3 linked regions of the Xenopus tropicalis genome follow. The protein of the gene in region 1 interacts with the protein of each later gene in a pairwise test. Links are inferred from orthologs where the notes say so. Each region holds a gene or a part of one and is shown on either strand. Other genes may lie near its edges.

Region 1 (3,754 bases):
AAAGAGTCAGATTTTTGTTTTTTAACTAAGACATGGCCTCCCCCATTCACATCTGTTTATGGTCCCATTGACTGAAACAGGTCAACTTCCCCTTCAAATGAACTGAGAATCTTAGTGGTTCACATACTTTTTCCCCAAGCACATATGTCACTTTGGATCACATTCTTCAATAAATAAGTGAACAAGTATAACACTTTGTTGAATTTGGTTTTTGTAATCTAGTTTTAGTACTTGTGTGAAAACCAAATAACATTTTAGGTCATATATATGCAGAAATAGTTCAAGCTTTCAAGCACTGCTTTCTTCTACAAATCTATGAGCGTCATTATATAACTAGCATCTCATCCAACCCAATAATGTAACGGCCATACCTTTAGCGTTCAGTTCATTCCTCTGTGCTTGCAGGCGCCTGAGATTCTGACTCTTGTCATTAACAACAAGCTGGGGACAAAAGATGACTGTCAGCTAGAATAACTGTGTGATCAGTAATGCAACAGCACTACTGAATTGGGTCTGGTGGGTATGTAAAGCTGTACACAAGCAGACACAGCATAGATTAGTAGTTATAGTTCTGTTAGTATAAAAAATACCTGTAGATCTTCAATCTTGGACAAGTAATACTGCCTCAGGCCAATACCTCCACGGGACTCGTCCATCTCCATCTGTGCAGGAAACAGCAGATATTGTCAGCGTCATATAACAGGCATAAGGTACTACTGACAATGGGTGGGAGGACAAGGACACGTCAGACTGTAGTGATTAGTGCAATACCCCTCGTCATGCATCATGGCAAGCCTAACATATGTGGGAAATGCACCACCCAATGGTTCAACAATCAGCTTTACTGTAATACAGGTAAGAAAATAAGTAAACACAAAAGAGAGATCACGTGTTATCATTCCCTTTGTCTGGCTAAAATGATTGTATGAGGTATATAAGTGATATTTAATGTTCAGGGATCCCTGAATAGTTTGGGGGGGGGTGCAGGGGGATCCCTGTGATGCTGGAGGGGGGGGGGGGGGGGGGAGTGTGATGCTGGCGTCCCTGGAATCCTGAGGGAGGAGGGACCCTGAAATGCTGCGACAGGAATCCCTGTGACACTATGACAGGGGGACCCTGTGATGTTGGTGGAAGGCTCACCCTGTGATGATGGGGTCCCTGTACTACTGAGGGAAGGGGCTGACCCTCTGATGCTGTGACAGGGGTCCCTGTGATGCTTCCTGATGGGGGGGATCATGTGATGATGGGGTCCCTGTACTGCTGAGGGAGGAGGGACCCTGTAATACAGAGGGAGGAGGGACCCTGTAATACAGAGGGAGGAGGGATCCTGTAATACAGAGGGAGGAGGGATCCTGTAATACAGAGGGAGGAGGGACCCTGTAATGCTGAGGGGAGGGGGGACCATCTGATGCTGAGGGAGGGGTACCTATAACGCTACCTGATGTAGGGACCTACAATGCTGTGCTGAGGAAGGGAGGACCCTGTGATGCTGATGGTGGGAGGGGTCCCTGTAATTCTTCCTGACACAGGGGCCTACCGTTCTGTGGACCCTGTAATGCTGAGGGAGGGCCCTGTGATGCTGAAGGAGGGGGGGCCCTGTGATGCTGAAGGAGGAGGGGCCCTGTGATGCTGAAGGAGGGGGGGCCCTGTGATGCTGAAGGAGGGGGGGCCCTGTGATGCTGAAGGAGGGGGGGCCCTGTGATGCTGAAGGAGGGGGGGCCCTGTGATGCTGAAGGAGGGGGGGCCCTGTGATGCTGAAGGAGGGGGGGCCCTGTGATGCTGAAGGAGGGGGGGCCCTGTGATGCTGAAGGAGGGGGGACCCTGTGATGCTGAAGGAGGGGGGACCCTGTGATGCTGAAGGAGGGGGGACCCTGTGATGATGGGGTCCCTGTGATGCTGAAGGAAGGGGGGGCTGTGATGCTGAGGGAGGGGGGACCCTGTGATACTGAGGGGGGGGGGGAACCCTGTGATGATGGTGTCCCTGTACTGCTGAAGGAGGGGGGACCCTGTGATGATGGGTTCCCTGTGATGCTGAAGGAAGGGGGGGCTGTACTGCTGAAGGAGGGGGGACCCTGTGATGCTATGACAGGGGTCCCTGTAATTCTGAGCGAGGGGGGACCCTCTGATGCTGCGAGGGGGGACCCTCTGATGCTGTGACAGGGGACCCTGTAATGCTCCCTGATGCAGGGACCCTGTGACGCTGGGGTCCCTGTAATGCTGAGGGAGGGGATACTGTGATGAGGAGATACTGTTACGGTGGCTCTGAGTACAGATGAGGGGATAAGTACAGCTGAGGGAGAGGTTAGGGGCCCTTTGGTTCATAGATTGTGGATTCTAGAAGAGATTCCCTTTCGGCTCTGCCCCGGCACCAGGATGTGAATAAAGCCACACAGGGAAACTAGTACAGCCGCCTGCGCTGAAGCCGGACAGAAGGCAGGACTGTATATGGCACTGGGAGTTATTAGGGAAAGGAGAGAGCTTGTCACTCCTGGGTTACTGTACAGCCGGCAGATATGGGTATAAGGGCGGACAGAAACAGCTCCCGCCGCACAGGCGGCCCTATCAGCCATAAGTCCTATAGACCCAGTAATCCTCTGTCCCCGGTACCTGCTCCATCCCGTCCCCCGCCACCTTGTATTCTCCCGGCGGAGCCATTCTTCGCTTTACCGTGACTCAGGACCGGAAGCGACCCAAGCCACACTGAGATTCTGGAAGTGACGTAGGGAACTAGCCGCCGCGGGGTTCACCTTATGTCACCGACACGAACTGAGCAGCGCCATCTGGCTTTGTGGAGTATGTACTGCGCACTTCCGGGTACTTACAGCTCTCAGGGCGTCTGTAATAGAATATTATCTAGTATCCTGGGAGTAGAGATATCGATTATATTTATATAATATTTTGCTTGGGAAAAATTGTTTCCAAAAAGAGTTAATTGCCTGAAAAGCATTTTTTCTGAGCATAAACGCTTGAAAAAATATTAAATCTGAGACGCACCAAAAAATAATAGTTGCCCTTGATAGTGGCAGTGCCTAAATATGTCCCAGTGGGCCCAGCCATGCACAATTGCCCCTCAGCTGGTCTGCCTGTTCCGCCTATAACCTTCCTAATGCCACGACCCTTTAATACCTCCCAACATTTTGAAAACAGAATGAGGGACAAAAATAAATGCTGCGCGCAGCGTGGCAATTTTTTTACCATGCCCATTTTGCAATCATACCCCCTAAATACCACTCCCATTTGACTAAATGGGTTTTGGGGTCCTGTTTTATGTGTTATTACAGTTTTGCTGAAAAAGGTGAAATTGCCCTTTAAGCTGCGAGTCTCAGTTCCCCTAAAGGTGGCCACACACGCGATTTTTCAAGTCGCAAGGATAGTTCCCACCCTCCACAGAAGTTCAGGGCTGAATTGTCAGATATGGAGGTAGAAACAATAGGATTCAATGGCAATATCGGTCGCCTTGCCGAGTCGCCATACATGCACTGAATATCCAGGGTCGGACTGAGCTGCCGGGACACCAGGAAAAATCCCGGTGGGCTCCGGCTCTAGTGGGACCTGGCGGCCCAGACCCAACCCTTGCTGCCCTCCCTCTGCCCGACCGCTCCTCCCGACGGGTTAAATTATGAGCACTCTGGGAAGGACGTTGGGTGGGGGGTGCTGCGAGGTGGGTTAGGGGGGCCCCAGCGGGGGGGAGACTTAGGGGACGTGGCCGGAGGGGACACCTGCAGGGCCCCTGGGGCGGGAGCCCCGGTGGGCC
Region 2 (3,719 bases), on another chromosome or scaffold:
GAAAATTTCATCTTTACAATCGTGGGTACACTTTCCATGATTATAGATTGCAAATGGGAAATAAACATCACCTATCCAATGTAGTAAAAAGACAAAAATGGATGTTACTGCACAAATGTAAGTACTATATGGGGGGGGGGGGTCAATAATTGCCTAGATTATCTGTCAAGCTTATGTTTATAGTATATAATTGATTTCACGATAACTGCAAAATTGTAAGTGTAATGATATCCAATACCAAGTCTGGTTTATGCCTTAGATCAATTTTCCAAGTGACGATAAAGCATAATAACAATTGTTACAAAGAATGGCAGCGATAAAAAAACAAAAAAACCCTGGTGACATTAGCATAGCCATTAAACTGTGTAAAATACACAAACTGTCAAGCAGGAAAGCTTTAAATCTCTGAACTTCAGAATGTTACAAGTTGAGGCCCACATTTTAACAAGTGTAAACTACTATGGGACTGTTTATATTTTTTATATACATGTCTACGATGTGGGAAAAAGGTAACAATACCTCAGTGGCAGTTAAATATCGAAACTAACTTATTTAGCAATGTTATTTTCTATTTGTTTCTTGTTTCAGTTACTTTTTTTGTATCTGAGGTTTCTTTGTGGTTATTACCACTTTCCTGTTATCACCCAGACTAAAGATAGGACTTTCACTGCTCAACCTCATTAAATGTTTACCATGACTAGAAACACTGCGATAACTTCCTCTTTCATCCGATTACATAAACAAATCTCAATCTACATCATTCCAAAGAACTAAATAAACAAAAAATAGCCAATGTTGTATATGCCGTATAGTAACCCAGCCCGCCCTGCATTTGGATATGGTTTATAGTATATGAATAGTCTAATCTATGTAAAAATAGAACAATCTTTTATCAGGCTAAGCTATTGACTGCCTTAAGGCGATATTAAAGAAAGTCTTATCCTGGGGTACTTTGAGAGCAGATTTAGCAAGCTCTAATGAGGCCATAGATTTCATGCTAGAATCATAGAAACCAGCTTACTACACCACTGCAAAAATGATATCCACATCTGTCTCTGGATATATATTTTCTAACACATACACAAACACGCATTCAAAATATCATTAAATATGACTGATTTCTAAGGATCGCTTGGACATAGTTAATTGCTATAATAAAACTGTCCCACGGTGGATAAGGGATTCTTTAGTGCATTTTATAAGAATACATTTTGTTGCAAAAAAGTAAAGAGAGAAATTCTACATTTTCATTTAGTCTTACCGAGCACAAAGTGCTCATAAAACAATCAAGTAACAGCATAATTGGAGGAACATCCCACAGCTTAGGTGTCGAACACTGTGTTAAAATCATTGTGATAAATAGCTGGGCTATTTATCTAAATCAGTGTCAGAGCAAAGCAGCATCCTGCAGGCTCCTCTGGCCAGTGAATGGCTTAGTGAATTCTGGCGCCTCTGGTCATTTCTCAAACCTGCAGCCAGGGTGTGAAAAGCACTTCTGCTGTTTACATTATATATGTTCTTCAGCACCGTGTCACCATCAGATAAGAGGATTTAGCAGACCACTAACACGACCTCTCCTCATATACAAGTTTCCTACTGTAAAGCCTCCAACTCAGGCTTGAATTGATGGCCAGACACTTAAGTGACCGTGAGTAATGGCCATTGCCCAAGAAACTTCTTAGCGATAGAAAGGATGCAAATATTGGTTGGCGCTAAAAAAAGGGTTTTGAGTAATGCCGAAAAATAACAGAGACATAAACAAACAAACCAAAAATCATTTATAAAAATTAATTAAAAAAAAAATCCCTTTTTCTGCATTGGAATAATTAATAACTAACTATATATATATATAACAATATAACTTATTATATATATATAATACCGTATATAACTTTATATTCATATATATCATTTTTGACATATCTAATTGCTACTTTTTTTTTTTTTTTAAACACATGCAACATTGTGCAAACTAGCTTAGTGAATATTTTGTCAAAGGTTAGATGAAATAGTAGTACAATGTGTAGGCTAAAAGAGAAGTGAGGGAATGGGAGCTGGTGTCAGTGCGAAGTTGTTCTGCTGGCAGCATGCAATGTGAAGTAGAAGGGAGAATACAAACAGATGGAGGGGTAGGTGCACCTACATTGAGCACTGTGCCGGTGTTGCCAATCCGTCTGTGCCAATCCATTGAAGCATGCTTTCAGAGCTTTCTCCTGGAGCATGCAGGAAGACGGGCTCGCAGTGTAGAAATCCAGCATTTGCCCAGGACTCACTGCCAGAACATCCATGCAGTCAAACATGATTCCCCCTATACAGAATATCAGCGAAAGTGCTTATCCTTTAGGTGCACAGCAAATTGCTATCGAAAAAGTACACCCAACTCCATCAAACTCTGCCCCTTTTTTTGGCACGTAGGCTGTTGGTCTTTTTCCCAGACCAGAATCATGAATTATGACAGACAACACAGCTAAAAGCCTGTAATTGATCCAAATGATCATTTACTATTTTCCAAGCTTCCCAGCCATTCCAGCGGAGCAGGAGGAGAGGGGGGGGGGGAGATGAAGAAATCCAAGCTGTCAGCTCCAGGCAAAATGCATCTAAATTCCTGGAGGTGCTTGTAGCCTTCTGTAGCAGCTATTCAGCTGCTGCTTGTATCAGTGAGCAACTGAGTCGAAAGTCGGAAAAAATAACTAAATTTATGTCATCGAGCAGTACGGTCCCCCCTTCTGTAGCAAATAGATCCTTCTGCTTTTGAACAGCTCACTTCCTACTACTTGTGTCACACAAAATGAAAGATTGAATTGCCTAATATATGCGAGTGAACTTTCCATGAACCCTTCCCAGGCTGCTAACCTTCAAATGACCCAAACCAGTCTGACATCACCAACTCCCAGGATTCTCACACAGCTTAAAGACTAGCAGCCAGCCTGCAGAAACAGACAGGCAGAGGGAGAGCGAGAGAGAGGGACGCAGGCAGCCAGCGCTGCTTCCCCACTCCACACGCTTGCCCTTCTCCTATCTGCTCTTTGCACTTCTCCCACCTAAACACATTTCTTGCACAAACTGCAAGCTAAGCCTGTGACACCTCTGATATTCAATTCTGTGCAGGGCAACCATGACTAAATGGATTTTGTCAGAATTTATTTTTTCCTGAAATGGGAAAAATAGTGACAAGCAATTATTGCTTGTCACTATTTTTCCCATTTCAGGAAAAAATAAATTATTTTTAATTACATTTTTTTATCGCTCACTTTCCAGTCACACTTCTATCTATCTTGTATTTTTCAACACGCAAAAATGAAGGGAGAACAATTTTAAAAAATCCTGGAAAATAGCAAATTTCCGCTGCTGTTAAATGAGGTTGACGTTTCCAGATCGTCCCAGTAGCCAGTGAAAGGCATTTTTTCCCACACAGTAGCATGCATCGGGAGTGTGCTCTAATGATCGCAAATAACCATTAATCCACAGCTATGTCTTGATAAAAGGGCACACTGGGGTGAGAAGTCACATATGCCAAATTTAATCAGAGCTCAGGGCTTTTTCTTTATGACAACAATGAGGCTAAGTACAATCGGGGGCACGGCAGCCGCTGGTTTGGTCTTAATACCACACTGCGGTTCCCCTATGGGGGGAATTCTCTAGCGTTGCTATCTCCTTATCCAGGCTTGTGTGCTACGCCTCGGCACAAGGGGCCACTGTTGAGGTAATAATATTTTCTA
Region 3 (3,754 bases), on another chromosome or scaffold:
AAAATAAAAATATAAATATTTTCAATATCAATCATAATAAATAAAACAAAAACCATCTACAGGAAATCAACGTTTTCATGGAAAACTTGGAAAGACAGTATTACAATCAACGGAAGAAACAGCACGTTCACCATGTGTCCGGCCCTTAAAAGGATATCTATATATGATCTATATATCTGACTTACAAATGAATATCATGGCTGGTACAAGGATATTTAGAGCTAACTCCTCTAAACACCTTGTACTCAGCCAGCACCATAACATTCCTGTGAGCTAGCTTAGACTACATTTCCAAGCTAACAGCACAAGGCTTTTATCAATATCACAATTACCTAAACAGGTTAACGTAGGTCATTGCCACTAGCAGTTAATGTATGGGATACATCATGCTACATATTAACAGAATTCACAACAAGTCCATGCCAGTGCTACAGATCAGTAAGAGGTATCAGGCTCCAGTGGCAGTTGGAAGTAGGAGTCAACTACACAACCATATAAGTTAACAGGGATCTAGTGCTAGTTTGTGATGACTGGGAAGTAGGAGACTCTTGGCCTAGTACAGTGCTCACTGTGATATTTACACTTTTCAAAACATTACCTATATCTGAGCCTAGGTCACATGCTAGTACCATATTTTTTGGATTGACATGCACAGTGAACACTTATGGCAGCAAAGAAGAAGTTCCAAAAGCATGACAGTAAAAGCCACATATGGTGCCTTATTGCATTTTGGAGTCAAAGGAAGGAGGCACCAAAATAAACCAGTTTAACAAGTACAAGTAAAAGTCCCCAGCAGCATCTCACAATGGTTGTGTGAATGTCCCTCAGCATTACAGAGCCAAAAGGGTGGGAGAGTTTAGAGAGTCTGATGACTGCTCATTGCTGCTGCTTCCCCTCCGATGTGCGGCTCCACAGTTGGGGAAGTGGTCAGATTCTGGGTATGTGAAGACAAATGATGTTGTATAGGTAGTGCATGTTGGAGTGCAGGTAACAACTGGTGTGCACAGAGGCTCCATGTCTGCAGATAAAGTGCTATACAGTGGCTCCCATTCTGATGTGTAAAGAGAGCTAGTAAGATCTACATCTGGCACAGAACGTGCTGCATCAGTTACACCTGTGTGAGAAGAGTTAAACAGAAAATCATCCAGTGGTTCAGATTTGAGTTCCATAGAGACTTGCAGCTGGGTGTTCTCCTTTTCAGGCATGGAAGACTGAGAAAGGCCAATGGGAAACAGAGGCTCTGCTACAGGCTCCTGAGAGCTGGAAGAACAAGGGGTCTCTGAAATCAGACCCAGATCAAGAGATGAGGTCAAGTCTTGAAAAGCTCCATCAAGATCATGTGGAATTTTGCAAGCTGGTTTGTGAGCTGCAAGTATAAACTCCAGCTTTTCCTTCTCCTTTAGAAGGCCGGCAATCTCTGCCTGCAGGGCAGATTTCTGGTCCTCCAGGTCATCAGTCTCCTACAAGGGAAGAAGGTGGTATAGTAAGAACCTCAAACAATCAAATCCTCCAAGAATGGAGAGCAATATAGATCCCATTTATGTTTTCCATCCCTCTGCATATAGTCAAACTAATATATATATATATATATATATTATATATATATATAATATATAATCTTAACATTTATATAAACTACTGCCTATTTAGTAGCCTACTTACCGCTTGAAGGGTGTCTGTTAACTCCCGACGGCGGTTACGACACTTGGCAGCTGCCATCTTATTCCTTTCTCGTCTTACTTTCCTTTTTTCTTCTTCTTCTGGAGAAAGCTATAAGCAGAGAAAAGACAGACTGTCAATATAAATAAACAAGTAGCTTATAGATAAACAACATCTACCTACACCTGCATTGCAGAAACTAAAGGAAAACAAAGGTCTGACAGTTACCTGCTCCATTTTTCCTCTTCTTCCCAGGCTCTGACCTCTTCCAGCAGATCCTTTCATAACGCTAGATCGGCTGTAAGCTGGTGTGGACCCATAAGGGTGTGCCCGAGACTGTGATGGGGCTACAGAAGAAATAAGGGTTGGCTGTACAAGCCACTGAAGATCTGGTGAGGTGGAAATGGCAGTGACTGTGGGTACAAAACTGCTGCTTGAATCACCACCGAAGTCCTAAAAACACATAAGTAGAAATAGGAGACTATCAGTGAAGAGAAAATACGTATACAATCGGCAATACTGCACACAATAAGTGTTATGTGTATCTATACAAATATACACACACAACCCAGCCATTGAAATTGATAATCCCACCCGGGTTCCGCATTTCCAATCCTAGCACACGAGCCCGAGTATGACAGAAATAGCTCCGCCGTCACTAGTGACGCAGGAACAGCTCTGGAGTCTCCTGAATGAACTCTGGATTTTTATCAATGGAACCGCTTTACACATACAGTGGGGGGAGGGGCAAGAGAGTGCAAAGACCCTGTTGAAGTCAGGGCTACAACATGAACCAGGATTTGGGTGTTAGTCCCAGGAGCAGTGACTATGGATATTCGGGTGCCAAGTCTAAACCCAGTTACTTGTACCCATACAACCAGTAAAGTAAGCCACCCGCAAACACTTCATCACCCTCTTAAAATCATATATCAGATGACTTACCTGTGGAGAAACAGGTGACCCCATGCTAGAGAAGGAAGCTGCAGGGGACGGGTAGTAGGTCAGGCTGTCCCCGGCTGGAGAGGCACTACTGCAACGGGAAGAAGCTGCATCATATTCGGTGCTGCTGGAGAAGGCGTGATACATGGTGCCCTTTGAGGGTAAGAATGTAAAACCAGCTCCGGGAGTAGCAAGTGACAGAGAAAGACCGTCAGTCCTGGCTCACCAAGCTGTCAAACCACTCCGTACGATGAAGCAATTAGTCTGAAGGAACTTGCCTCCTCTCCAGCTTTTTATACCCTGTCAGAGGTTTTTTTTTTACTTTTTTTCAAAGCCTACGTCACGAGTTAGACCCTACCACTATTCAAAGGGACGAGCAACTCTAGTATCAACTCTCGGGGCTTTCGTTTTCTATTTAATTGTGCTGAATGTCAAATATTCTTCAGTTCTTGACAATGACCTAAATGAATATTCAAGGTAGCATTACCTAACAAACGCTTATTTTTTTGTCTCCCCCCTCGGATTTACCCAATGGTTTCACCGAACTCGGGAATCCAAATGACGCAGATATCCTTATAAGGAAAACATCCTGTTTGAGGGCGGTTTGAGGCGGCTAGGGGTAGGGCTGCCGGGAAGAGCCCTAGCAAGCAAAGACAGACACAAAAAGGGAGGGGTTGAGGGTGCGAATTGGGAGAAAGGTAAAACTGAAGAGTGGAAAAAGGTTACGCAGCCCTTTTGAAAACAATATCCGCGGTATCCGTGTTTAATAAAAAATACAATTTTATGTTTATGTAATACAGGTATACACTGCAATTTAACATAAAAGGCAAACGCTGTACAGTTAAATTCTGCTCTGCATGTTAATGATGTAGACTGTAGAGTATACATGTATGATGCAAGTCACTTTCGTTTATCTATAAAATGAATAGCGATACATTTGTATAATTCATATACCCTGTTCTGCCTATAATACAATTACATTTTGTCCTATGTAAAATATGAAAGTGGCTTAACTAAAGAACTGTGGGCCCCAGTAAAAATTACACTGGTTTCCTGGTTTTCACCTGGGGACCCCTTTCCAAGCTTCCCACCACACTGTGCCCCATATGCCTCCAGCTATTCTGTATAACAGAGATTAATATTGATCTTTGTTGCG

Evidence for each region.
Region 2: the proteins of psmc5 (region 1) and rarb interact in binary tests that used the Homo sapiens proteins (3 or more experiments, as listed by UniProt). The link is inferred for Xenopus tropicalis from reciprocal best matches to the Homo sapiens genes PSMC5 and RARB.
Region 3: the proteins of psmc5 (region 1) and fos interact in a two-hybrid assay, tested with the Homo sapiens proteins (3 studies listed by BioGRID and IntAct). The link is inferred for Xenopus tropicalis from reciprocal best matches to the Homo sapiens genes PSMC5 and FOS.

Annotation. Positions count from the first base shown.
Region 1 is NC_030686.2:15,719,544-15,723,297, reverse strand, and holds the start of psmc5 (26S protease regulatory subunit 8), read right to left. Parts: upstream 2,749-3,754; 5' UTR 2,656-2,748; coding exon 2,608-2,655; intron 663-2,607; coding exon 591-662; intron 442-590; coding exon 372-441; intron 1-371.
Region 2 is NC_030682.2:47,514,315-47,518,033, reverse strand, and holds the start of rarb (retinoic acid receptor beta), read right to left. Parts: upstream 2,934-3,719; 5' UTR 2,301-2,933; coding exon 2,144-2,300; intron 1-2,143. UniProt on the Homo sapiens protein: Receptor for retinoic acid. Retinoic acid receptors bind as heterodimers to their target response elements in response to their ligands, all-trans or 9-cis retinoic acid, and regulate gene expression in various biological processes.
Region 3 is NC_030684.2:82,309,770-82,313,523, forward strand, and holds the start of fos (proto-oncogene c-Fos), read right to left. Parts: upstream 2,831-3,754; 5' UTR 2,746-2,830; coding exon 2,602-2,745; intron 2,113-2,601; coding exon 1,888-2,112; intron 1,771-1,887; coding exon 1,663-1,770; intron 1,461-1,662; coding exon 831-1,460; 3' UTR 1-830. UniProt on the Homo sapiens protein: Nuclear phosphoprotein which forms a tight but non-covalently linked complex with the JUN/AP-1 transcription factor. In the heterodimer, FOS and JUN/AP-1 basic regions each seems to interact with symmetrical DNA half sites.